Linked DNA regions of Oreochromis niloticus. The protein of the gene in region 2 purifies or fractionates together with the protein of the main gene of each other region. This does not show direct contact. Links are inferred from orthologs where the notes say so. Each region holds a gene or a part of one and is shown on either strand. Other genes may lie near its edges.

Evidence for each region.
Region 1: the proteins of pfdn6 (region 2) and pfdn5 purify together in Homo sapiens (affinity purification with mass spectrometry; 5 studies listed by BioGRID and IntAct, with this or other methods). This does not show direct contact. The link is inferred for Oreochromis niloticus from reciprocal best matches to the Homo sapiens genes PFDN6 and PFDN5.
Region 3: the proteins of pfdn6 (region 2) and pfdn1 purify together in Homo sapiens (affinity purification with mass spectrometry; 6 studies listed by BioGRID and IntAct, with this or other methods). This does not show direct contact. The link is inferred for Oreochromis niloticus from reciprocal best matches to the Homo sapiens genes PFDN6 and PFDN1.

What each region holds. Positions count from the first base shown.
Region 1 is NC_031970.2:23,616,752-23,624,474, reverse strand, and holds the start of pfdn5 (prefoldin subunit 5), read right to left. Parts: upstream 3,105-7,723; 5' UTR 3,013-3,104; coding exon 2,947-3,012; intron 2,708-2,946; coding exon 2,605-2,707; intron 1,804-2,604; coding exon 1,772-1,803; intron 1,655-1,771; coding exon 1,580-1,654; intron 1,476-1,579; coding exon 1,370-1,475; intron 1-1,369. Other genes in the region: espl1 (separin), read right to left, coding at 4,738-4,939, 5,474-5,638, 6,555-6,638, 6,722-6,837, 7,036-7,140, 7,294-7,461, 7,561-7,710. UniProt on the Homo sapiens protein: Binds specifically to cytosolic chaperonin (c-CPN) and transfers target proteins to it. Binds to nascent polypeptide chain and promotes folding in an environment in which there are many competing pathways for nonnative proteins.
Region 2 is NC_031966.2:32,024,153-32,031,630, forward strand, and holds pfdn6 (prefoldin subunit 6), read right to left. Parts: upstream 3,084-7,478; 5' UTR 2,940-3,083; coding exon 2,876-2,939; intron 2,673-2,875; coding exon 2,602-2,672; intron 2,477-2,601; coding exon 2,352-2,476; intron 340-2,351; coding exon 219-339; 3' UTR 69-218; downstream 1-68. Other genes in the region: mmgt1 (ER membrane protein complex subunit 5), read left to right, coding at 3,254-3,401, 3,751-3,803, 3,907-4,010, 5,092-5,248. UniProt on the Homo sapiens protein: Binds specifically to cytosolic chaperonin (c-CPN) and transfers target proteins to it. Binds to nascent polypeptide chain and promotes folding in an environment in which there are many competing pathways for nonnative proteins.
Region 3 is NC_031975.2:33,670,645-33,677,996, forward strand, and holds pfdn1 (prefoldin subunit 1), read left to right. Parts: upstream 1-4,296; 5' UTR 4,297-4,420; coding exon 4,421-4,453; intron 4,454-4,838; coding exon 4,839-5,005; intron 5,006-5,091; coding exon 5,092-5,176; intron 5,177-6,559; coding exon 6,560-6,643; 3' UTR 6,644-6,748; downstream 6,749-7,352. UniProt on the Homo sapiens protein: Binds specifically to cytosolic chaperonin (c-CPN) and transfers target proteins to it. Binds to nascent polypeptide chain and promotes folding in an environment in which there are many competing pathways for nonnative proteins.

The sequences.
Region 1 (7,723 bases), on a different chromosome or scaffold from region 2:
TCCCAAAGAAATAGTAACTAAAGTGACATTTGGCCCCTCCTTAGACTCACCCCTGCATATTGCAGGAATTGCATTGCAATACAGACAGCAGGGAGGGGCAGGAAATGTGCCAAATTTAAAGATTGAGCAGTTCATAAGGATACAAATGACTTTCAGTTGAGCAGTTTCTTAATTTAGCATGCTGTTCCTGTTGGATGGGAGGAGCTGAAAACATTGCTTTTCTTCACATTTGAACTATTCACACAGGTGATTTGATGAAGGACTTTTATTGTATTTTAGCTCGATTACCCTTCATAGCTTACTCGGAATAACCCTTGAAACTCTTTTCTGAGTGGTTTCTGTCATATTTAATTCCTGACTATTAGAACAAAATGAGTGTGTTTGCATCAAAAGTTAGTGAGGGGGTTTCTGCCCCTAGTTACCCCTGGATAAACCTGAATACTATTCTAATGGTTGTTGAACCACATCTTCATTGATAAATGCCAAGGTGTAAAGTCGTTACTAACCCAACAACACTAACATGCTGTTTTATATAACTTACACATGGGTTAAATCACCCAGCATTAGTGTAGTAGGTTGAGGGTACAGGGGAGGTCATCAAATGTCATCTTTATAGGTTAATTCATCAAAATTCATATTAGCTAGCTATGATGAAAGCTACTTATGTATTTAGTTCACTACTCTTTAGTGTATAAAACAAAAACTGTACTGTAAAAAAGCCAAAGGCTAAACGAACTAAAAAAAAAAAACAGACAGAATGAGGACGAGTATGATGCCTGGCACAGACACAGTGAAGATGTGGGGGAGTTATGTCGCATTGCAAACTTATTATCCAATGGACAACGCGGTTCATCACATGAGTGGACATGGATTTTTAGCTGATATCATCTTCACCTTGTAAGTCTATGTTTTTGTCAATGATGATGAAATGTGTTTATGAAGACACCTTCTGTACTGGGAACAACTGCAACTGCAAAGGCACTATTAGTAATTTGGTTGTTATTTAGCACAATCTGTCAACACAACAGTATCACAACTCTGTAAGATACACACATGAAGCTTTGTCGATGAGATCAAAATGAAGGTAAAGTTTAAAGACTGAGGTTCAAGCCATCAGTACCATGTATTCAAAAAGATTCCGCATTAATGTTGTGAAAATAATCATAATTGCTGTCATCTAATTTTTAGGATAATTTCATTTTAATTGAAGAAAAAAATAAAAATAAGAAGTCCAGAAACATGCATGTCATTGAGTAAAATAAGTATTTGATCCCCCTACAACCCAGCCAGAATTCTGACTCATACAGTGCTTAATATGAACCAGTATAATGTCACATGGTATGATGGTGCACCGAGATAAGGAAGTTACCTTGTTTCATGGCATGCTTTTCCTGTAGGGCTGGCTGAATTTTCTCTATCTGCTTTGTGAGGAAGTCTATTTTGCGCTTAAAGAATGCCTTTGAGTCTTCCACGTTCTGCAGAGACAAAAAGGAGAAATTTCAACACGACTCAAACACATTTAAACATTTTGTTTCATTATAATCCACTCATGGCTTTTCAAATTGCAATTTTTTTTTACCTTTTCAACATAGTATCCTGTCCCCACATCCACTAAAACGTGTTCCACATCATTTAATGTCCCAGGGACATACATCTGAGTAACAGGAATGTCAAGGACAAACATGCATAGCTCAAGATAACCATGACTTAATTTAAAGCACATCATACAACACAGCAAAACACTTACTGTCCAGTGCAAACAAAAGGATACAGAACTGGTAAGAGGCACAAGGAGTTCTTTTCCTATATGAAAGAGGAAATAATAAATCAAATTAAGCTACAGATTTCTAGCGAACATTACTGAAAAAGCAGAATTCTGTTTTTGGCCAGAAATGGTCGTGCGGGGTGTCATAAGAACTAATAAGGATGTAACAAGTGTCATTTTAATGTGATGACTGGTTATATCATTAGAGTGTGACGCTGTGTTAGCAAAACTGATGTTGTACATATGAGCTCAGATCAGTGCCTCAGCGCTTCTGTGTTTTGCTCTTGCTTTTTTGTTTTGTTGAAACTGCGATAGTCATGTACACTATAATCCAGGATGTGTCGTTGATTTTTAATAGAGGACGTCCGATGAATGTCCTAGACCTTAGTTATTAAGAGTGGTTATTTGAGTTGCTGTTGTTCTTCCATCAGCTCAAAGCAGTCTGACCTTTCTACTCTGACATCAACATGGCATTCATTTTGGAAACTCTGGACATTTGTGGTATTTAAACTCCTCTACTCTTTACCGTTACATCCGTCTCTCTCACATTCACACTTGTGCTGACTTTCAAACCTCTCTAGGCTCTCTTCCACCTGCTCCTCACTTTCACTACATAACATTTATCAGTTAACTGGCAAGTTAAAAGGGGAAGTAAATAAACAGGGTAGTAGCTGCTACTTGCATTTCATTTGAATACCGGTTCATCTAATATATAATAATACGAGTTATTGCCGATATAGTCAGTTTCACGCCTCTTGAGTGTTGAGATAAACATGTTTTTCAATCTACCAGAGGTGCACTGAATTAATAGGCTGTCAAAAGTTAAAATTATTACTCACCTTTATTGTTTTTGTTCAGGACATTCAAGCTATCTTTTGCCTCAACATACTTTGTCTGGACAACTTTGAGCTGACCTATCGAAGACGTCAAGAACTCAACTTCCTGCAAAAAGACACAACAACGTGTAGAAAACAAGTGGCACACGGTTACCAACCAATGGTTTTATGCTTGACTTGTTAAGGTGTGCCGACAACATCAACAACAACGGGTTTGCACTGTTAGCATCAGTGGTGCTAGCCGGCTGAATACCCGGGCCCGTTCTCAGCACGCTTAAAGCTCTGATTAGAGCCCTTTATAAGGACACATTCCTCGCACACACACGGACAAACTAGGCACACTACCTGGTCTAGCTGGGTTTTCAGTCCCTCTAATTGAGGCAGGGAGAGGTCTGTCAGATTCACCGCCATGTTGGAAGCGTGATGCTAAGAGACCTTTAGCGATGCTGTTTCCGGGTTATGGAGCTGGACCGTCACTAGTCTGAAACATCGCCCCACTGCGGAGAAGTGAGGAAGTGAACCAGCTCCTTATGCCTCTTCACAGAGAAGTATGTGAGGCTGACAGATGGGTTCAAGTTTGAGCTGGGATAACATCAGGGATCTGCACTGAGCCCCTTCTTGTTTACAATGGTGATCACTGACAGATGAGGTCAGGGAGGAGTTTCTGTGGACTATGGTGTTTGCAGATGGCACCGATCTGTAGTGAGAGTAGGAAGAAAGGAAAAGAGCCTGAAGAAGTGAGGATATACTCAGGAGAGAAGAGGAATAAAAGTCAATAGAAGTAAGAAAGAATACATATGTGTGAATGAGAGAGGCAGAGAGGTGCAGAGGTAGTGAAAGTAGAATAAGTTTAAATACCTGCAGTCAACCATCTGAAGCAATGGACAGTGCGCAAGAGAGGTGAAGAAGAGTGTGCAGGCAGGGTGGAGCCAAGTGTCCGGGGTGATTTGTGACAGAAGGATATCAGCGAGTGTGAAAGGGAAGGTTTACAAGGTGGTAGTGAGACATGCTATGATGTACAATTTGGAGATAGCTGCACTGACTAAAACACAGCAGTCCGAATTGGAGGTGGCAGAGTCGAAAATGAACTGAAGATGGTAAATGTATCAGACAAAGGATCTTGAAGATGGAACTGCCAAGCAGCAGGAGGAGAGAAAGACAGAAAATATTCATGGATGTAGTTAAGGATGGTATGCAGAGGGTTTGTGTGACAGAAGAGGATTCCAGGGATAGAGTGTGATGGAGGCAGATGATCTGCTTTCAGTCTGCTCAGGCCAAAGGAAGAAGAAAAATATTGCTGGATATAGGCCCTATATAAAATTTATTTTTTGTGCTTGTGACAAAATAAAACTAAAACTGCAAGAGCACCCAGAAAGTGTAGACATCCACCAACTGCTGTTAAAAACTAATAATTTATTCCAAAGAAATAACACCATGCATGACCCATGGGTGCAAAGTTCAAAACAGTGACTAGAAAACACTCAGCTGTGATACGAGAGGATGGGCTTTGGGGGGGGTGGCTCCTTTCTGAAGACATTTTTCGTGTCAAACACTTTTATACTGTTACTATTCTTTTCTTTTGTATTGGTTTAAGGTAGAGAGCTTTATGTAAATGTGTCAGGTATCGCAGGCACCAGGTTCAACGTACACTCAGTGGCCACTTTATCAAATAAACGCTGCTGGTACTGGGTTGGACCCTCTTTTTCCTTCAGAACTGCCTTCATTCTTTGTGGCATAAATTCAGCAAGGTGCTGGAAACATTCCTCAGAAATTTTATTCCATTTTAACATGAAAGAATCACAGAGTTGCTGCAGATTTGTCTGCTGCACATCCATGATACCAATCTCCTGGTCAACTAACTCCCAAAGATTGTGATCTGATGATTGTGGAGACAGATCTGGGCTTCACGTCTACATAATTAACAGGGCACCAACAGATTGTGTGTGAAAAAAAACATTTATTATATTTTAAAAAGGAGTTCATTCTATACATTAATAATGAATTTAAAAATTTAAAAGAAATCCCGTTATTTAAAACGTATTGACACACAAAAAATTCAAAACAATGGTTTAAAAATAATGTTATACTCAAAATGCATTTAAAAAAAAAAAAAAAGGATTTAACCTCAGTAGCACCCTATGTTAAGTGCACTGGCAGGCCATATACCACGGGCGCAGCGCCTATCAGATATTTCAAGTGAGTGGCCTGCCGAGACGACCCCATGAAGTCGAGGAGCGGTGCCCCGGAGCCAGCAGAAAACCACGACTCTAACAAGGCCTTGGTGAAGCGATCAATATCCCGATCTGTGACATCCCAGAGATTTCCCAAGATGAATGGGCTAAAACAAACAAACAAAAAATCAAAAGGATGATGACCATAAGACATGTTACAAACTAGATACTTTACATAAGATCCCCAAATATTCCTTCTGTTAACAACAGTTTGTTTCAAAAGATTCTAATTAAATCTGCAACAGCAGTATTAAAAAAAAGAGAGAGGGGAAAAAAAAAAAAAAAAAAAAAAAAAAAAAAAAAAAAAAAAAAAATCACACTCCATGTTATCAAAAATTATATGCAGCAGGATTGCGACCTTTTAAACAAAACTTTCAGTAAGTACATTTTCAGATTTTTACTTTTTATTATTATGCATGTTTATTTTTCTTTATTTAAATTTTTGTTTTTAGGGTCGATTGTAAATCATAAGTGCTTTGTTTGTAGTGCACAAGTTAAAAATAAATGCATAAAATGAAAATGTTTTACATCAGCTATTATAACTGCTGCAGTCATCAAGAGGAAATGCTGTGCATTTCATATGGTCATGTTATCCAGTTTTCATTCAGCTGCACATGGATGAAAATGCAAAGATATCTTACCAGCCTGCTATGATGTAATTTAGCACAATGCCATTTCCTTCCTGCTGTCCCCGGACAGCCAGGGCTCCGCTGCTGCAGCCAAACAGCAGAGACGCTGCCCTCAGCGGCCGTTTGAGAACAGCCTGGCTGTCCAGGAACCGGGCTCCTGCTCCATGGCCCACATAACTAAAATCATGGAGAGATAGATTTAAAAAAACCAAACAAACAAAAAAAACCCAAACAAACAACAACAACAACAACAACAAAAAACCAAACAAACAGTGAAACTCACAAAACGAACAGAAAAAAAAAATAGAAATACAAGGTAAAAAAAGATGGAAATCTGATGACAGAACTGAACGTTAAGAAAAACAAGCCCTCATTATTTAAAATAGAATGAATATTAAATGTTTGACAAAGAGAAAGTTTTATTTTTGAGGTTTCACCCACTTGATAAAGAAATCAGTCCCAGTGTGAACGATCTACACTAAAGCTCAGGGTCACCATCCAGACACCTTCACTTTCTGCACACTGACCCTTACTTATCTCCAGAAGGCCCTCAAGTAGGACATTAAGCTTTGGGTATTTTTGTACACATCTCTACAAGCTATGCACACATGGATTTGGACTCATTCTTTGGCTGGGTCACTCAGACACAGGCAGACTTGTCCTCAAGCTACTCCAACAAGACCGTGGCTGAATTATTTTTACTAATAGATAAACTCTCACCTCTTTCCCTTAAACCCTGACAGGTACACCCATAGCAAGATGCTGCCAAGATGAGAGTATTGCCTTGGAGTCCATCACAGTGCTTAGTGGTCTGCTTGCAGAGTTAATTTTTTACAATTATTATTATTTTTTATTCTCTCTCTCTCTCTCTCTCTCTCTCATATATAGATATATAGATATAGATATATATATAGATATATATAGATATAGATATATATAGTTCATTCAGGTTGCCATTATTGGTTTTAATGTGTTTTTAACGGAGACCTTTTTTTAAAAGAATTTTAAAGTGAATCTTGAATACAGAAAAATCTTCAAACAATAAAGGGGTTTGAATCTGTAGTTAATTTTTACTTATAAAACTGAAACTCACATGTAGACGTCTTTTGTAGCAACAGCTTCTTCTAGTCGGCCCAAGTCAGGTGCAATTCCACACACTCCTTCCCAGTCCGGTTTACTTTAATGAGAATAGAAAACTGAACTGATGAAAAACATTTATGCATGGACTTGTGCTCAATTACTGACATGTTTCAGTCTCACCTGCAAAACCAGTCTTTGAAACGCTCCTGAGAGTTCCCTAAATTGTCATCAGGATCGAGCACATAAAACACTTTCTTTGCATCCACACCACGCCTCAAAATAGACTCGGAGTCAGTCTAAAAGAATGATTGAAATAACGATAACATTGCAACTATTGAAATCAACTGTTTCATTAGCAATACAGACACTTTGCATTAATCCTTGACGGCATGGGAATGTCTTTATTAGCATTGCAGTTAATGAGAGGTGTGAATGTTAAAAGCCTTAACATACATGTATGAGTCCTACCTGACAGTTATAGAGCTTAATCATACCTCTTTTTGAATGCTCAGTCCAAGCAGCGAGTGCAGAGAAGGCATCCGACTTACAGAGCTAGACTTTAAGACGGGAATGCTCTCCCACGGCAACTTCTGAAGGTACTGCAGCAAAAAGTACAAAAGCTGATAAGCAGCAAATACTTTGTCTTCTCACAAGTGATACATTGCAGTGATGCTTTTCAACTCGTAGTGACACACATGCCTGCATTAGCTATAAAAGTGAATTCAGTATTTCACAGAGATTATGAAACCAACCTTGTCAAGGATTAGAACCACATGATTTCGGGGCTCATCCCTCTGTAAGAGCTGGGACACAGCAGTGTGAAGAAGCTGATCACACTCAGTGTCCCACTGTGGAGAAACTCCAAGAGCAAATTGTTTCAAGTCGTCTTCAGATAGCACAGGAGATGCAGAAAGCAGAACCTAAGACAAGTCAGAGGCATTAGTGGTCAGAATAATCAATTAGAAGCTGATGTTAAAGATCCATGGAAATGAAACGAAAACAAACAAAAAAAAACCCACCTTCAACATCTCTTCTTCCACTGGCACTCCCCTTGCAGATAATGCGTGGTAAAGGTGTTGGGTCTGTTTGGAAAGCTCAGCATCCAATGAAAGGGGTAGAAGGAAGGTTCTCCAGCATCCAAGCAACCTCTCCATGTCCTTCAAGAGTTGCTGAAGGTGAGAT
Region 2 (7,478 bases):
AATTTGTCAGGATGCAGCACGTCCTAATGGAAAAATGCCCTCTAAATTGAAAACTAATGCAAAGGTGATGGTTCATGAAAAAAAAAAATGTTTATTCGTATCAAGAGAAAAGTCACAGTAATAACACTGCAAAGAAATGCCAAGAAACAAGCAGAGTGTCGCAGGTTTACATGATATTAACTACTTTGTGTAAGCGTGCGTGCAGCTACATCACTCCATCAGACTTTGCCCACAGCGAGGCCCTGGGCTTTCTGAAACTCCTGTTGTAAACTTGACAACACTTCTCGATGCTGTTCGGATTTCTTTTCCATGTCTTTCAGTAGCGTCTCATACCTCTGACTGCAAAAGGACAAAAAAGGAAACCACTGAGTTTTAAACACACACAAATGAGGAATATTTAATTCCCATTCTTGTACACTGAACATCTGTAATTATTCAGGGTTATAATACTTTAACATTTAATATCTCAAACCATTCAAACACAAAAAGAACACTACCTTAAATTAAGTATTACAAGCCCACACACCCACATTTTTGCATTTTTGCATTTTGTCGCCTTGTACTTGTGACACGACAATAAAGTTGAATTCTATTTTATTTTTATCTATAATTGTACAAAAACTTTAACCCATTTAAAAAGTACAAAGTGGCAATAAAGCTGAATCAAGAAGTTAGTTTAGTACTTTTGCCTAAAGGACTCTTGTCTTTTTAAATCTTCTCCTGCTATTATGTAATCTCAGTGAGGAGAAAAGACTGACACAGATCAAGCTCGTGACTGCCCTCTACCTATGAGGGAGCACAGTGACACAGCTAAAGTCTGTTCTCATATCTACAATGGAGCCATCTGTAAGCTGCCTGCACAGTTTATTTTTAATGGGCGGGCATTGTTTCTGATTTTATGAGGTTCCAGTTGTCCCAAAACTACGTTCACGTGTGAACTGTAGTGTTTAACACAGTATTAGACATGTGGCTATAAAAAGGGCAGTTGCTATAGACACACACTTTGGAACAATACATATTGGAGCAATAATCAGCTGCCTCTCCAGTGAGTCCAGTGAAAAGGCTCCTGTTTCACTGTCTTAAGGTGCAGACTGGACAAGGACTTCAGTCCACAACAGGGGAAATGGAGTCAATTTGACCATAACATGAGACTTTCTTTAGAGGCAGCTGGGTGATATTGAGGACGGCTACAAAAATGGCCTGGTGTGCCCACCAGTGGAGAAATGTGAGGCGGGAAGACCTGGGGCTACACAACAATAGCAAGGTCACAGTTTGCTGCTAAATCAGTTGTAGATGGATCTGTTCTCCTGGACAGATTGCAAACAATGAAAAAAACAAAACAAAACATGAAGTAATAAAATACTTTTTCAAACACTGTCCCGGGTATGTCGACAAGGACAAGAAGAGCAAAAAGAGGAAAGAAGTAATGTTGGAAGTTGAACTGAAACAGACAAATGTTTTCCCAGGTGATGAGCTGGTTTAATTAGCTCTGTAAGTATAGCCTGGAGTTAAAGTTAAAATGCTTCATAAGAGTCTTCTGTTGCAGGTTCAGGCCACAGTGGGGCCAGAATATTGTCACAAAAGGAACCTCTGAGTCCACTGTATTTACTCTACAGCGAGGCAATAGTCATCCTAAACAGATTTGCTGACTCCCACCACATCCTGAACTCATCCTGAACAAAACAAATTTCCCACGTGTGGGACTAATAAAGGTTATCTTATCTTATCTTACCGGAAAAGAAACGAACTTGGACTCTTATCAGTTATTCCTTGAGCTTAATATGACTAAACGACATGACAGGTGATTTCAGGAAGTCATTCACGTGTCCAAGACACAAAGCAGCCTTTACAATAACACCTTAAATTACTGATGCAGTGGGTGATGGCGCTGCTTGTCTTTATACTTGTGTGCAATCACCAGTGAATCTGAGCTCTTGGACTTGACGGTAGTTTTTGTTTGTTTGTTTGTTTAAATTTAACTCTCTGAAGTAACTCTTGGAGGCCAATTAATTTTCCCAAGAACCCGGGACTGTTGTGGAAGATTGCACCAATAAGCTGAACTCAGATGTGCTAAATATTAATTCAATATTAATTTTTACTTCTTTATAAGCTTGTTGGGGCAGCCATCCAAAACAGTCCCAGCTTCTCATGTTCTCAAAAATCATTGCCCACCCCCGATATAGACGGTGTGTGCGCCCGCTCCACCTCTCCCCCATCATCACAACACCTACACTTAGTAAACTCACAGAGGGTGTTTTGAATCATAATTGATCCCCAATGACCAAAACCTGATGTATTCCCATAGCACTGTGAAGGTCTCTTCACACATTGGTGTGGGTGAAATGGCTTACATTTCTCCGTTGATGTACTCCAGCCTTTTGGCTACTGTGGCTTTGGCCTCATCTAGGTCCTGCTTCACTAATACAGGACCAATGAGCTTATAAACGGTGTTTGAGCTGTCCAGCAGATCAAGCTCCTGGAAAGACAAAATGAGATCTCGTGTTTACTACAGAACAACACATACCGCAACATAGATAGAAACAAATGGTCTACCAATAGTGCTATCAGTGAATAAAATAGCAAATAAGCGATCATAGTTACCTCTTTAACAATGTTGTTCTCTGTCAGCTGCGTCTCGAGCTTCTGTCTGGCTGACATGCTCTTGCTAACCTCTGAACAACACACAGTTAGTTAATCAGGGGAGGAACTGGTTGCATTTTAATTACAGCGAAAGTATTGTTGCGACTATAATTCAAATGCATGCGGCAGTTATAACGACACACTTTAATGTATATCGAGCTTTCCTAATATGGTCAGTTAGCTCAATGCATCATGTCACACTAGGAGAAACCACGCAGGGCTAACTAGCACCCACCTTTCTGCATCTGGGCGTATTTCTCCACTTCCACCTTCAGCTTCTTTTGAATGGCTTCTGCCATGTTTGTATTTATTTTAAACAGTACTGTCGAGTGAGTAAATGTTTCAAAGAGATATAATAAGTTATGGATGATATAGCATATGAAAGCTCTATGCGAGCTAACCGGAAAGGGCAGAGGCTAGAGCGGATATTAGCTCATCCCTTCAAAGTAAGAGCACAAATGGGGACGGGCCGTGTATTAGCGGCAAATAAAGTAGTCAAATGAAACCATTCAGTCTGTGTATATTCATGTATATTTATATATAACTTATTAATATGTGTTTCCCTTAATATTTAATTTCCCACTTATTAATAGGGTGTTTTTTTTACACCGCCATGGTTGCGGCTGTTTACGACACCGTTTTACGACACCGTACGCGCAGTTCCTCTTCGCTTCGGTTCAAGATGGCTTCGTCGTTTTGGAAAGGTGTTGTCGGCATCGGACTTTTCTCCTTAGCTCATGCGGCTTTCTCAGCGGCACAACGTGAGTTTCATTGCACAGAGCGAAAGACACGTCTCTGTAGCTGTATTTATCGCAGACTGTCTCCGGTATCACCGGGTAGCTCGACAAAACAGCAGCTCGGGCCTTTTGGCTAGCTAACATCATGCTAGGTGGGCTCTGCTCCGCTTTGAATGGGGCGCAGTGGTAGCGATTGAAATCTTTTCCTTGCAGTGCAGCCCGAAAGGGTCAGTGCTAGTGGTAGACAGCCATTTAGAGTAATGGCATTTAAAGAGGATTTCTTTTGGAGCCCTTTTTAGAGTTCTCTAATTAGCACCGTTTGTGCGAGGTGTTCATTTTAACTGCATTAGCTCAATCATGTTTCTCCCATCAGATCGATCATACATGCGACTTACAGAGAAGGAGCACGAGACGCTACCAATTGATGTGAGTAACTTTTATCCTTACTTTCAGCCTTCCTCCTGATTTCAAAGACTTTTCTTTTTTGTCTTTTTGTTTTACCCAGCGTTTTCCTTCTTTGTGTTTCCAGATTGTACTGCAGACTTTGTTGTCATTTATCATGACCTGTTACGGTATTGTCCACATCGCTGGAGAGTTCAAAGACATGGATGCTTCCTCAGAGCTGAAAAACAAGTAAGCTGACTTCACCCTGCACACCTCCACTCCCTCGGCAGTGCAGTTGTTTTTTGTCCTCTGTCACAGGGGAAGCTCATGGCTCACCATCTCAGCGACATTTATAGTAACATTACTGTGAAGCTGTTCACCTCGAATCCCACAGGTGCAGCTTTACATCACACAGCCAGTGTGTTGAAACCCTCCTAAGACTGAAAACGTATTCAAAGCAAAGCCAAAGAATACGGCCTTATATCATGAAAGTAAATGGAAGGTTGCTGGGTTGACAAAAGAGGTTTGGGTCACAGTGTGACATTATTATAACTACAGCTGCAGGTGACAAGATGGTGTTTTGGCTGGAGCTTCACTGAGTGTTGTTCAGTGTTATGAACATTGGCTACTTTGGCTGTTTACATTTTTCAAAGGCATGGAGTGGGCCCGGTTGGAATCCTTGCCAGGCTGAATCTGGTACCTGGGCCTCATGTTTCCCATCCTTGCTTGATCACCTTTAATCCATCAGTGAGGTTTTATCAGATCAGATAAAAGAATGAATAAAGTGATTTGGAGGCGAATGCAGCAGCAAAATTGTATAAACTAAGCAGTTGTTGAGATGTTTAAAGACGTAAGACAGTAAGCAAGCCAAACATAAGTGACTTGTTCATGTTGTGATCTGCTAACTGGTTAGTTTGAGTGCTAAACCCAAAATATAGGCAAAGTTTTTACAGTGGGAGTGTAACCACTTCTAGATTTAATAAGTGAACCCTGTAGATACAAATCGGCAAGCAAAGCATCCCACATGAGAAATCACAGCTTGAATGTTACACAGTTGATGCAATTCTCCCCTGAAACTTTCAATGTCTCATCTGATGGCTGGACACTGGGTTGTCACACTGCAACACTGATGATTCCAGTGGGTGTTAACATTGGTTTGTTTCTTTATTCTAACTCTGTATCAGGGACCATTGGGATGTAAACACACTTCTCTGTCCCTTCTCTCCTACAGGAGTGGATTATATAATTTAACAAATGTAATCAATCTCCATAACTTCCTGCCTCTTGGTGCCAGTGTTTAAGAAGTGTTTCTTTTTTTTTCTTTCCCCAGGACTTTTGACACTCTGAGGAACCACCCATCCTTCTACCTTTTCAATCACAGGGGTCGGGTGCTATTCCGCACAGCAGAGGAGGAGCCCTCTTCTGTACGCAACCAACAAGCTCTGCCCAACCCCATACGGTTACGCAAGCTGGAGCATTTGCACTGAGACTGGCCTTTTCCTGTCTGTAACACGGTCATTGTCAGATAAGATTTGTTTTTGTTAGACAGGAGGGAGAACGTGTCAGAATTCATCTTTCTCCTATTTAACTTTTCTTTATTTTTTTGTAAATAAACTAATAATGCTGTCTGAACATGCATCTCTGTCCATAACGTGGTTGCCACCATATTCAACGCTGACTGTGCCAACCCCTCAGTTTTTGTTTTTATTATTTCCAAGCAGACTTGTTTGTATATACAGTATGTAAACGCTTTGGAGTCTTAAGATACTGAGACATGTACCCCTTTGATCCCTTCTGAACTGAACTGGGATATTACTCTTTGTATATCTTTTGTATGAAGGGAATAACAAAGCCTGCTTTGGTTGCTGTTTCGTTCCAAACACACGTCAGCAACTGAAAACTTTGTCAACTGAAATGAGATTAATCAGTGGACTCTATTTGCTGTATTATTTCCAGGAAGCATAAATGCTCTGTACACTCTGTATGTGAGCAAAATGGTTTTTAAGTCACAGGAAATGAGGTGAACACTGGGATGGGCGATATTAGAGCGCTATTATAATGAGACTGTGAACACTAAGGCAGACTAGACAGTACTGGTACATTAATCTGAGTGAATTTTATTTTCCTTCATTTTAGATTTCATCAATATTCAACAGATTGTTTTTAATTTAATAAAAGTCATACTGATTTTACGAAGTGTCCAGATCTCCTTTTTTGTTGTACTTGGGCTGGAATATTGCTTTTGTCAGACAAAACTAAGTGGACTATTTATTTTCCAGATAATCTATTTATGCAGGAAGAAGTTGGTAAGAAATGGTAAATGGTTGGTACGCATGGCTTTTAAAATGAAATCACTATAGTGACAGTCTGCAGAGCTGTGCTGTGCCTGTGACCTTGGTGCAGGACTGCTGCATCACAAAAAACCCTCCTGATCCAAAAAACCTGCAGCTGTTTATGATGGACGCTAGGTGGCAGTCAAGGCTGAAGTTCCAGTCTGGGTTAAAATGGAGCAAACTTAACAAATCATGTAGAACAGAAATGGAGAAAAAGTACATATTAAATGCTTGTTTCACTAACATGTATTTAATATAAAAACTTAAGAATCAAGTAATTACAAAATTGAGACTTTAATGGATTTTAGGACATGTACTGGTGCAATTTTCAAGAACAAGGGTGATGTGCAGAGCTGCACTAAGTACACAGGGATCAAGTTTATGAGCTGCACCATAAGGTTGGATGTAGGTTGTTCATGCTGAGACAGCTCTACAGATGTGATGCTCGCTTTGTTACAGAGAAGTAAAAAGAAGGTCAGGTGTTGTACTGTCTTTGTGGTTGTAGAGAAATTTAGTTGATACTAAGGAGCCTGAAGTGTGCCAGGAAAATATCCCCCATATCATTACACCCTCGCAGCACCCAGTGTGGTCTTCTGCTGTTGTAGCCCATCTGCTTTAAAGTTCAATGTGTTATTCAGAGATGCTCTTCTGCATAGCCTGGTTGTTACGAGTGGTTAGCTGAGTTACTGTTGCAGAGCCAGAGAGCTGCTGCTCACTGGATATATTCTCTTTTTAGAACATTGATGGTTGTGTGAGGAAAAATCCCAGCACATCAGCAGTTTGTAAAATATTCAAACCAGCCCGGCTGGGACCAACAACCATGCCGCGGCTAAAGTCACTGAAATCACTTTACTTCCTCATTCTGACGCTCAGTTTGAACTTCAGGAGGTCGTTTTGACCACGTCTACATGCTTAAATTTGCGGAGTTGCTGATGTGTGATTGGCTCGCAAAACATCTCCAATAACAAGCAGTTGAACAGGTGTGCCTAATAAAGTGGCTGCTGAGTGTATATGCAATTCCAGCGTTTGCAGGCTTTTGTAAAATTACATTGTGTTGTAATCAATGACAAAGGGTCACAAAGAAAATAGGTCCAGCTGCCGTGTGCGTCGCAGAGCTCTGCTCCACAACTTCATCACTCTGTCAGACACACGGAAAGTGTTGCGTCTGCAGCATTTGCTCAGTTTAAAGTTGAGGCTTTACAAAAGAAACACAGACTCTAGAGACTTTATGGAGGTTAAACCAAAACTGCTTGAAAAAAAGAATGAAAGATGAAAGTAAGCGAGCTGTGTGCTCATCAACTGAGTCTTTAAAAAAAACACCAACTTCATGCTAGAACAGGGGTGGGCAATCTCAGTCCAGGAGGGCCGGTGTCCCTGCAGGTTT
Region 3 (7,352 bases), on a different chromosome or scaffold from region 2:
TATAAATTAATACTTTAGCAGCAAAGGGCATGATGACCAGCACTGATAAAGTGACAGTGTCAATAAGTGTTAAGTAGTGGTTAAGGTGCTACAATAACAGTTCTTGTCCATTATGCATTAAGAAGTCTCACAGCTTCTGGAATGAAGCTGTTTCTCAGTCTGGTGGTTTTGCATTTTTGCTCCTCAGCCTCCTGCCTGAGGGGCGTGGGACAAAGAGTGGGTATGCTGGGTGAGTGGGGTCCTTCATGATACAGGTGGCCCTCTTCCTGCATCCGGAGGTGTATATGTCTGTGACAGTTGGGAGGCTGCCTCCGACAACTCTCTGTGCAGCCTTCACCACCCTCTGTAGAGCTTTCCTCTCTGCCACAATGCAGTTTCCGTGCTTCCGAGGCGGCCTCCTCTGCTCCTTCACCTCCATGTTCATCAAGTCTGCTCCATACTGCTCCATACACCGCTCTCTCCCACTTCATCCAGCTTACACCACAGTTCCTGTCTCTCCTCTGACCTTTGACCCGTGGGGGTCTGACTCTGACTCATGATGCTGTCTCACGCCCAGTTTGAGTCCTCCTGGCCTCGCTTCCTTTCCTCCTGCTCTCTCACCTCCTCCTCCTTCTCCTCATTAGCAGCTCTCTCTCTTTAAAATCACACCTCCTACATTTAAGGCTCCTCTCTCACCTCCTGTTCCGTGGCTTCAGTGTCAAGTAGCAGTAGAGGGATTTCAGACGATGATAAAATGGATATATATTGGACAAAAGTTGGAAAGAGTAGGAAGGTAGGGCTGAGGAAGGACAAGTTGAAATTCACTCTAACAGGGAAGCGGGTACTTGAAGAGGAAGATGTGAGACGAGCAGGGGCGGATCTAGAAGGGTGGCATGGGGTGGCAAGTGCCACCCTAAAATGATCCCTTGCCACCCCAAGTGCCACCCCAGTTTTGCATATGACAGTGTTGTTTATTAAAATAAGATAGCATTAACAGTTTGAGCGTAGTTACAGTCAACAGTGAATGTAAATGCTAAAACTGAATATACTGCATAGTGTCCCCCCCCTCCACCATTAACAAATGGTTCAGCCCATAGCAGGAGCGGCGTTTTTCTTGTTGTCAGCAGCAAGCGATGCTTATGATTGTGCCAGAGCACATTTTGAACAACACCATGGGAATTTCGGATTTTACACAGGTGGTTGGATGTTACACTCTGGAAATGGAAGGAAGGTGAGTGTTATTAACCCTCTGTGGTCCACGGACACGCTGCACCTCCAAATCACATGACTGATGTAAGCTGACACAGCAACAAGCTGCAGCCACGCTGAGTCTCTATTTCAACCCACATTGAAAGTTCGGACTTCAAAGTTTTAAAATTTTAATTACAGGCCAGTAAATCCAGAGTTATGATAATATATATAAGCCACGCTTTTTTCTAAATACTGTCGTCACGTTTTTGTGTGTGTGTGTTTTAAGCGTTTTCTAAGGAAAGCGCGAAAACAGTAAAGAAAGGAAAGAAAGCCACCTCTTTCCTATCGGTGGAAAAATGCACCATGTCGACCAATTTAAAAAAAGTCAACACGTGGGATTTGGTTGTTTAGGAAGAGGGGAGAGTTTTGGGAGTGACGGTAACGGCAGCGAGACAGAGCGAGCGAGTGAGAGAGAGAGAGCGAGAGAGTTTTTAGATGTGGGAGATTTGTGATGTTTAGTGTGGAGTGTATAGTTAGTGTGTTGTGTTGTCTTGTGTAGTTGTTCTGTTGTGTAGTCGTTGTTTTGTTTTGTGTGTCAGTGAGGGCACTAATGAAGGTCACAAAGGCACATTTGCAACGTAAACACTGTCACTAAGTAGAAAACCAGCGGAGTGATACACCTGCTGTTGTCAGGTCTGCAGGTTTATCCCTGTGCTGTTCTCCTCTGTCTTTTGGTGGAAAAACTTTCTTTTACTGGCACACATCATTTGTGGGGAATCTTATTGCGAAACCTGATTGTTCTTGAGGCTTGAGCACCTGCCCCTTTCCTGATGGGTGCCCAAAGTGCCCTTTTGTTGAGGCAATTTTTTTTTTAATTTTTAATTTATTTTTTTTTAAATGTGTGTGTGCGTGCAGAGTCCTGTCTGTGCCCCTCAACAATAATATTTAACTATTAATCACAGTTTTGCTAAATAAAAGGATCTGGCTTGCATCAGTCACATGATCACCATTAACCAATGATCGCCCTTGACGGCAGAACGCGCTGGAACGAGCTCATAAAGAGCACGCGCATTTTTGCGGTCCGGAGCTGTAGGAGAAACACAAATTACCTCAGACACACAGACTGAGGCGACAAAACCAGTAAGTAGGTGAACAGCGCACACTGTAGTCTACAGCACACAGGAGTGTTAGCTTATTACGTACACGTTGGTAAGCTGTCTTGGGACAACTGACGAACTGAAACAAATGAGCGTGCTGTGTGTGCAACAGCGCGACAAACATTACCTGTCCTTTTATTAACTGCACAAGTAGTGCTGGTCATAGCTGCTGGCTCACTGGGTAAGGCTGTCATGGGTCTGTAGCTCTGTCACCGTGTTAGGGAACATATTTAGTTTTAAAGTAAGTTACAGGGCTTTTCCTGCCTTTCTGGAGGGATTATATTTCACTTAAAACGATCTAATATGCATGTCCACATAATAATGGATTATTATAATTATAATATTTTAAAAAACACGCTGTATTTTAAAGAACATACATTAAGAAACAGATTATATTAGATTTATATTTTAAATAAGACAAAATGCTGATTTTACAGCAGCAAAATTATTGTATCTCTACAGTTTAAAAATGTAATAAGCTTTCTGCCTGCACAGAGTGGAAAGTGAAACAAATTGAATCATCATAAATACATTATTTCATATGTATTACTCTTTTTCCCTCATTGCTTTATTATTGTAGCTCTAGTAATAAATAATAAAGGAAGGATTCTGGATCAACACCATGATGGAAACTTGTGCCCACAGTATATACAGTATTCTGAAGAAGGTCTAAAATGTCACTGTGTGTGCATGCATGTGTGTGTTTTATGTATATGGATTTTTGAATTATTACTCATAATATAACATTGTCCAGACATGGCTGGTAAGGACATGAGGAGGAAACAGTAGGAGCTGTGTGAGGCCACTAAAGGCAGTGGATCCCTCAGCAGCTGGATTACAAAGAGCACAGGTAACATTAACACATGTACCAGTTGTTGGAGAGGTATCCCAGTATAAAAATAATAATAAGCACAACTGAAATGTTTTGCTTCTATAACATTTTTCTGTCATCATTTTATTATAGATTAAGTGTAAGAGTTGTTAAGTGTGGATAATTAAATAATAGTTTATTGCAATAGCAAGTTATGCCTTGTTCTCAGATGGACAGCAAATGGAGAGTGATAGATGAGATGAGGGGATGGAAGGAGGGAGAGAGGCAAAGAGTGATTCACAGGCAGGGTCTAGTTTATTTCTCAGTTTTTTGTTGCCTTATGGTTCCAAGCGCTGTCACCAATCTTTGCATTTTGTTATTATCTCATGACACTTGTTTAATCAGCTACCATCTCTCCTATGGACTTTTTAATGTCTACAGTCTCAGATCAACACAGCCCTGCCCTCCAGCACTATCAGCAGCAGGAGCAGCAGCAACCCCTCAACAGCAACATTGTACCCATCAGGTAAAACATAGGCTACGTTTGCTTTGCCTCACAACAGTGATATAGTATGATGCGATCCCATATTAGATTCTTGATGAATGTGTGTTGTTGTTATTCAGCCTGGTTCAATGTGCCCCTTTTTAGCTTTGAGCACCCGCCCCTATAAACGTCTCTGCACGGCCCTGACACAGTGACTCCACTATATAAACACTTCATTGTGAGTATGCATCGTATATATGAGTATATATGATTACACACAGTTTATGAAAGTAACTATGATTACATGTCTAGTGTATATAAGTATATATGTCATAATAAAATCCACAATAGTTTGGAAAAGGTGCAGCGAGAAGAAGTCATGTAGATATGAATATAAAATAGAGTAAAGGTGTCAGCCACAGTGGGACAGAGAGGGTAGTTTTATTATAGTACACAGGGCAGAGGGACACTGTGGGAGAAGGTCTAGAAGAAGGTGTAATGTGAAGAGTAAGATTTGGTCACACAGTTTAAATAACAGTGTCAAACAGACGAATAAGCACGAGACAGGAAGTGTGAATGTCGTGCAGGAGGCATCTGAAAAGTGTAAATAAAGGCGGGAAACATGGAAAATACACATCACAGAGGAGGACACGTGATGGAGTTCACAGGGCGGACACTCCAGTCCAGCAGGTGGCGGTAATGCACCTGACGCTGTTTGCTACCGCCATAAAAAGATAGAAGAAAAAGGCGGCTCTCGCGCGTGCGCAGTGTGTCCTCAGAGTCGGGAGCAGAAAGAAGATGGCGGCGCCCGTAGATCTGGAGCTGAAAAAGGTAGGAGCTCCTCACCTGTGTGTGTGGCACGTGCTTTGTGCCTGTGACTAACGCGGCTGTTTCACACGTGGTCGAGTGTTTTTTCCACAGTCTCCGGTTTAAACTGCCCACGACCTCCGTCTGTGTCTGTGCCGGCGGGACACCGACACCGTCACGCTCGTGACTTTAACACACCTGCGCCCAGGCCTTGTGTCGTCACCGTGACGTAGTTAGAGCCCCTAACGTCAAAGTGACGCAGCGGAATCGTTTGCGAGTGGGTTGTGGGTGTAAGGTGTGATATCATGAAGTAGAGCTAAAAATGATACGGTTTCGGGGGGGGGGGCGGGTAGTTCAGAGTGGGCAGGCTCTGTTACCATGGTGACTAACCGTCAGGTGCGCTCCGCAGGCTTTCTCCGAGCTGCAGGTGAAGATGATCGACACGCAGCAGAAAGTCAAGATGGCCGATCTGCAGATAGATCAGCTGACACGCGTTCAGAAGCACGCCAAGCTGACGCACGCGGAGATAGCCACGCTGCCCGACAACACGCGGCTCTACGAGGGTGTGGGACGCATGTGAGTCACCTACTTTTAACCTTAACAGACCTGAACGTCACGCAGGTGTCAGCCAATCACATCGGTTCAATCATGATGTGTTTCAGGTTCATCCTGCAGTCCAAGGAGGAGATCAACAACCTGCTGACAGACAAACAGAAGACTGCTGACGAGAAGATCAAAGAGCTGGAGGTGCACGCGCACATGCCTCTTCTCATTGGCTAACTGCTGATTGACATCACGCGTGTGGGCATGTTCTGCATGGGGTTAGAGAAACCTTCTGGAGGAAACCTGAACTGTGTCCAAATTCATGGGCTGCATCCTCCTGAGGACCCAGCCTTCGTGGTCTACGTGGGCCGGGTCCTCAGAAGGTCGGGTAGGCCGGAAGTAAACAGCTGTGAAACTGGACGGTCTAGCTTTCAGATTTGTGTCACCGCTGTGTGGGTGGAGTTTAATAAACTCGGCCGTCTGCTCCTTGCAATCTAAAATATAACAGGACGCTGGCGTAAATTCTCGACCATCTCACACTTCTGTTTAATCAGTTTTCTGTTTGACGTTTATTCAGCTGTGTAAAAACCACCCGGGGGATTAATAAAGTTTTATTTTATCTAATCTAATAACTTTAATCTCAGCCAAACCGATTTACTCACGAACAAATAAAACACTGAAAAAATGACAAACAATAACATTTTTAGGTTGTCTAAGTGACTTATATATTACGTTTAACCTGAGTAGCGAAAGTCCGCAGTGATCTGAAAATGATGTGCCGGGAGTTGTGCCGTTCTCGGCGGCTTCAGTGACCCTCGAGCTCTCGGCTAGCTATCGAGCTGGTGGGTAACAGATGTCTCCGAAAATGTCAGCGCACTTTTAGAAATATGTGATATCTTGATAAACCAAGCAGATATTCGAAGTTTACACAGCTACATTCTCGCCTGAAAATATGTTAAAAGTTTATTTTGTGACCCAGAAAGATTAATAAGAGTAATATTAAAACTTAGTAGCGGCCGCCATTGTTGGAAACTGGAGTTTGGCTGAGCCGCGCTATGAATTCTGGGATATGGTGGGCCACGAAGGACACACCCGACCCATCCTTCAAATTCGGGGAAAAGGAGGACGCATTTGTCGGCTGCATTCGGAGGAGTCGACGAATTTGGACAGCCTTCGGCGCGTCGCTGTGATGTAATCGGCCTACAAATGCGTCCTCAGGAGGATGCAGCCCATGAATTTGGACACAGCTCTGGTCTTGTTAGGAGAGACGGCATCCATCCCACTTTGGATGGAGTAGCTCTCAAAATGTGACTATTCAGAGTTGGGACCAGGAAGCAGAGTTGCAGTCTTACACGTCTCTCTGCAGCTTCTCTCCTCCTGTTATCTCCCAAAACCCCATCTCCATAGAGACTGTGTCAGCTAGAGTCTTTAAAATATGAAACACGTTGATGTAACTATTGTTGTGCTTTATACAAAAAAATGGTTGAATTATCCTGCAGTCTGATTTCAGGAGGTTGAAACAGTGTTGGTGTGTGACACACACACACAGCTAAGCACTCACAGTATGTTTGTGTTTGTGATTTCCAGCAGAGGAAGGTGTACCTTGAACGCAGCGTGAAGGAAGCTGAGGACAACATCAGAGAGATGCTGCTGTCCCGGAGAGCCCACTGACTATCATCATCATCACACACACTATAATTACACTGTAATACACACACACACACACACACACAGTTTCCTGTGTGAGTTTTTCACAATAAAAGCTTGAAGACACTGCCTGGTGGTGGCTTTTTTCAGTCTGAGATTTACTTTGAATTTGTTGATGATGACGACCCTCTTCTCAGTCTGTGTGATCTGATGAATTAAACCAGCAGACGATCATGTGACTGTATGGAATTACGTTTGCCCAAAGGAGGCGGGGTCATAATGTGATTGGTCACTTTGAATCCTTTAAAACAGAAGGATTCAAAGAGCTGATCTGAGGTCTGTGCCCTGAGGTTGATCAAGAAGCATGCATCAGGGTCCAGCAATTATAACTTACTACAGACATTTAAAGCTGCACGTGTAATTGCACCATGAGTGGATGCAGCGCTAAGAACAGGCCCTATATTTCTCTGGTTTTACGATGTCCTCAGTGTTGAGGTGATAAATCAGCACATAACTGAGCAGCAGCAGAAATAACAGCTGCAGGTAAACGGTGACCTGATTCATTTGGTCAGAGATTCATCCAAATAGGAAAAATCCTCTAAACCCTGAACGTCAGAGGTCAAAGGTCCGATAAGCTGCCGGTGTAACATGAAGCTGAAAGAAACGCACATTTTCCTGGACAGGTGAGTGACATCAGAGCCCCAACGATATGAAACATCCTGAGAGCCGGCCG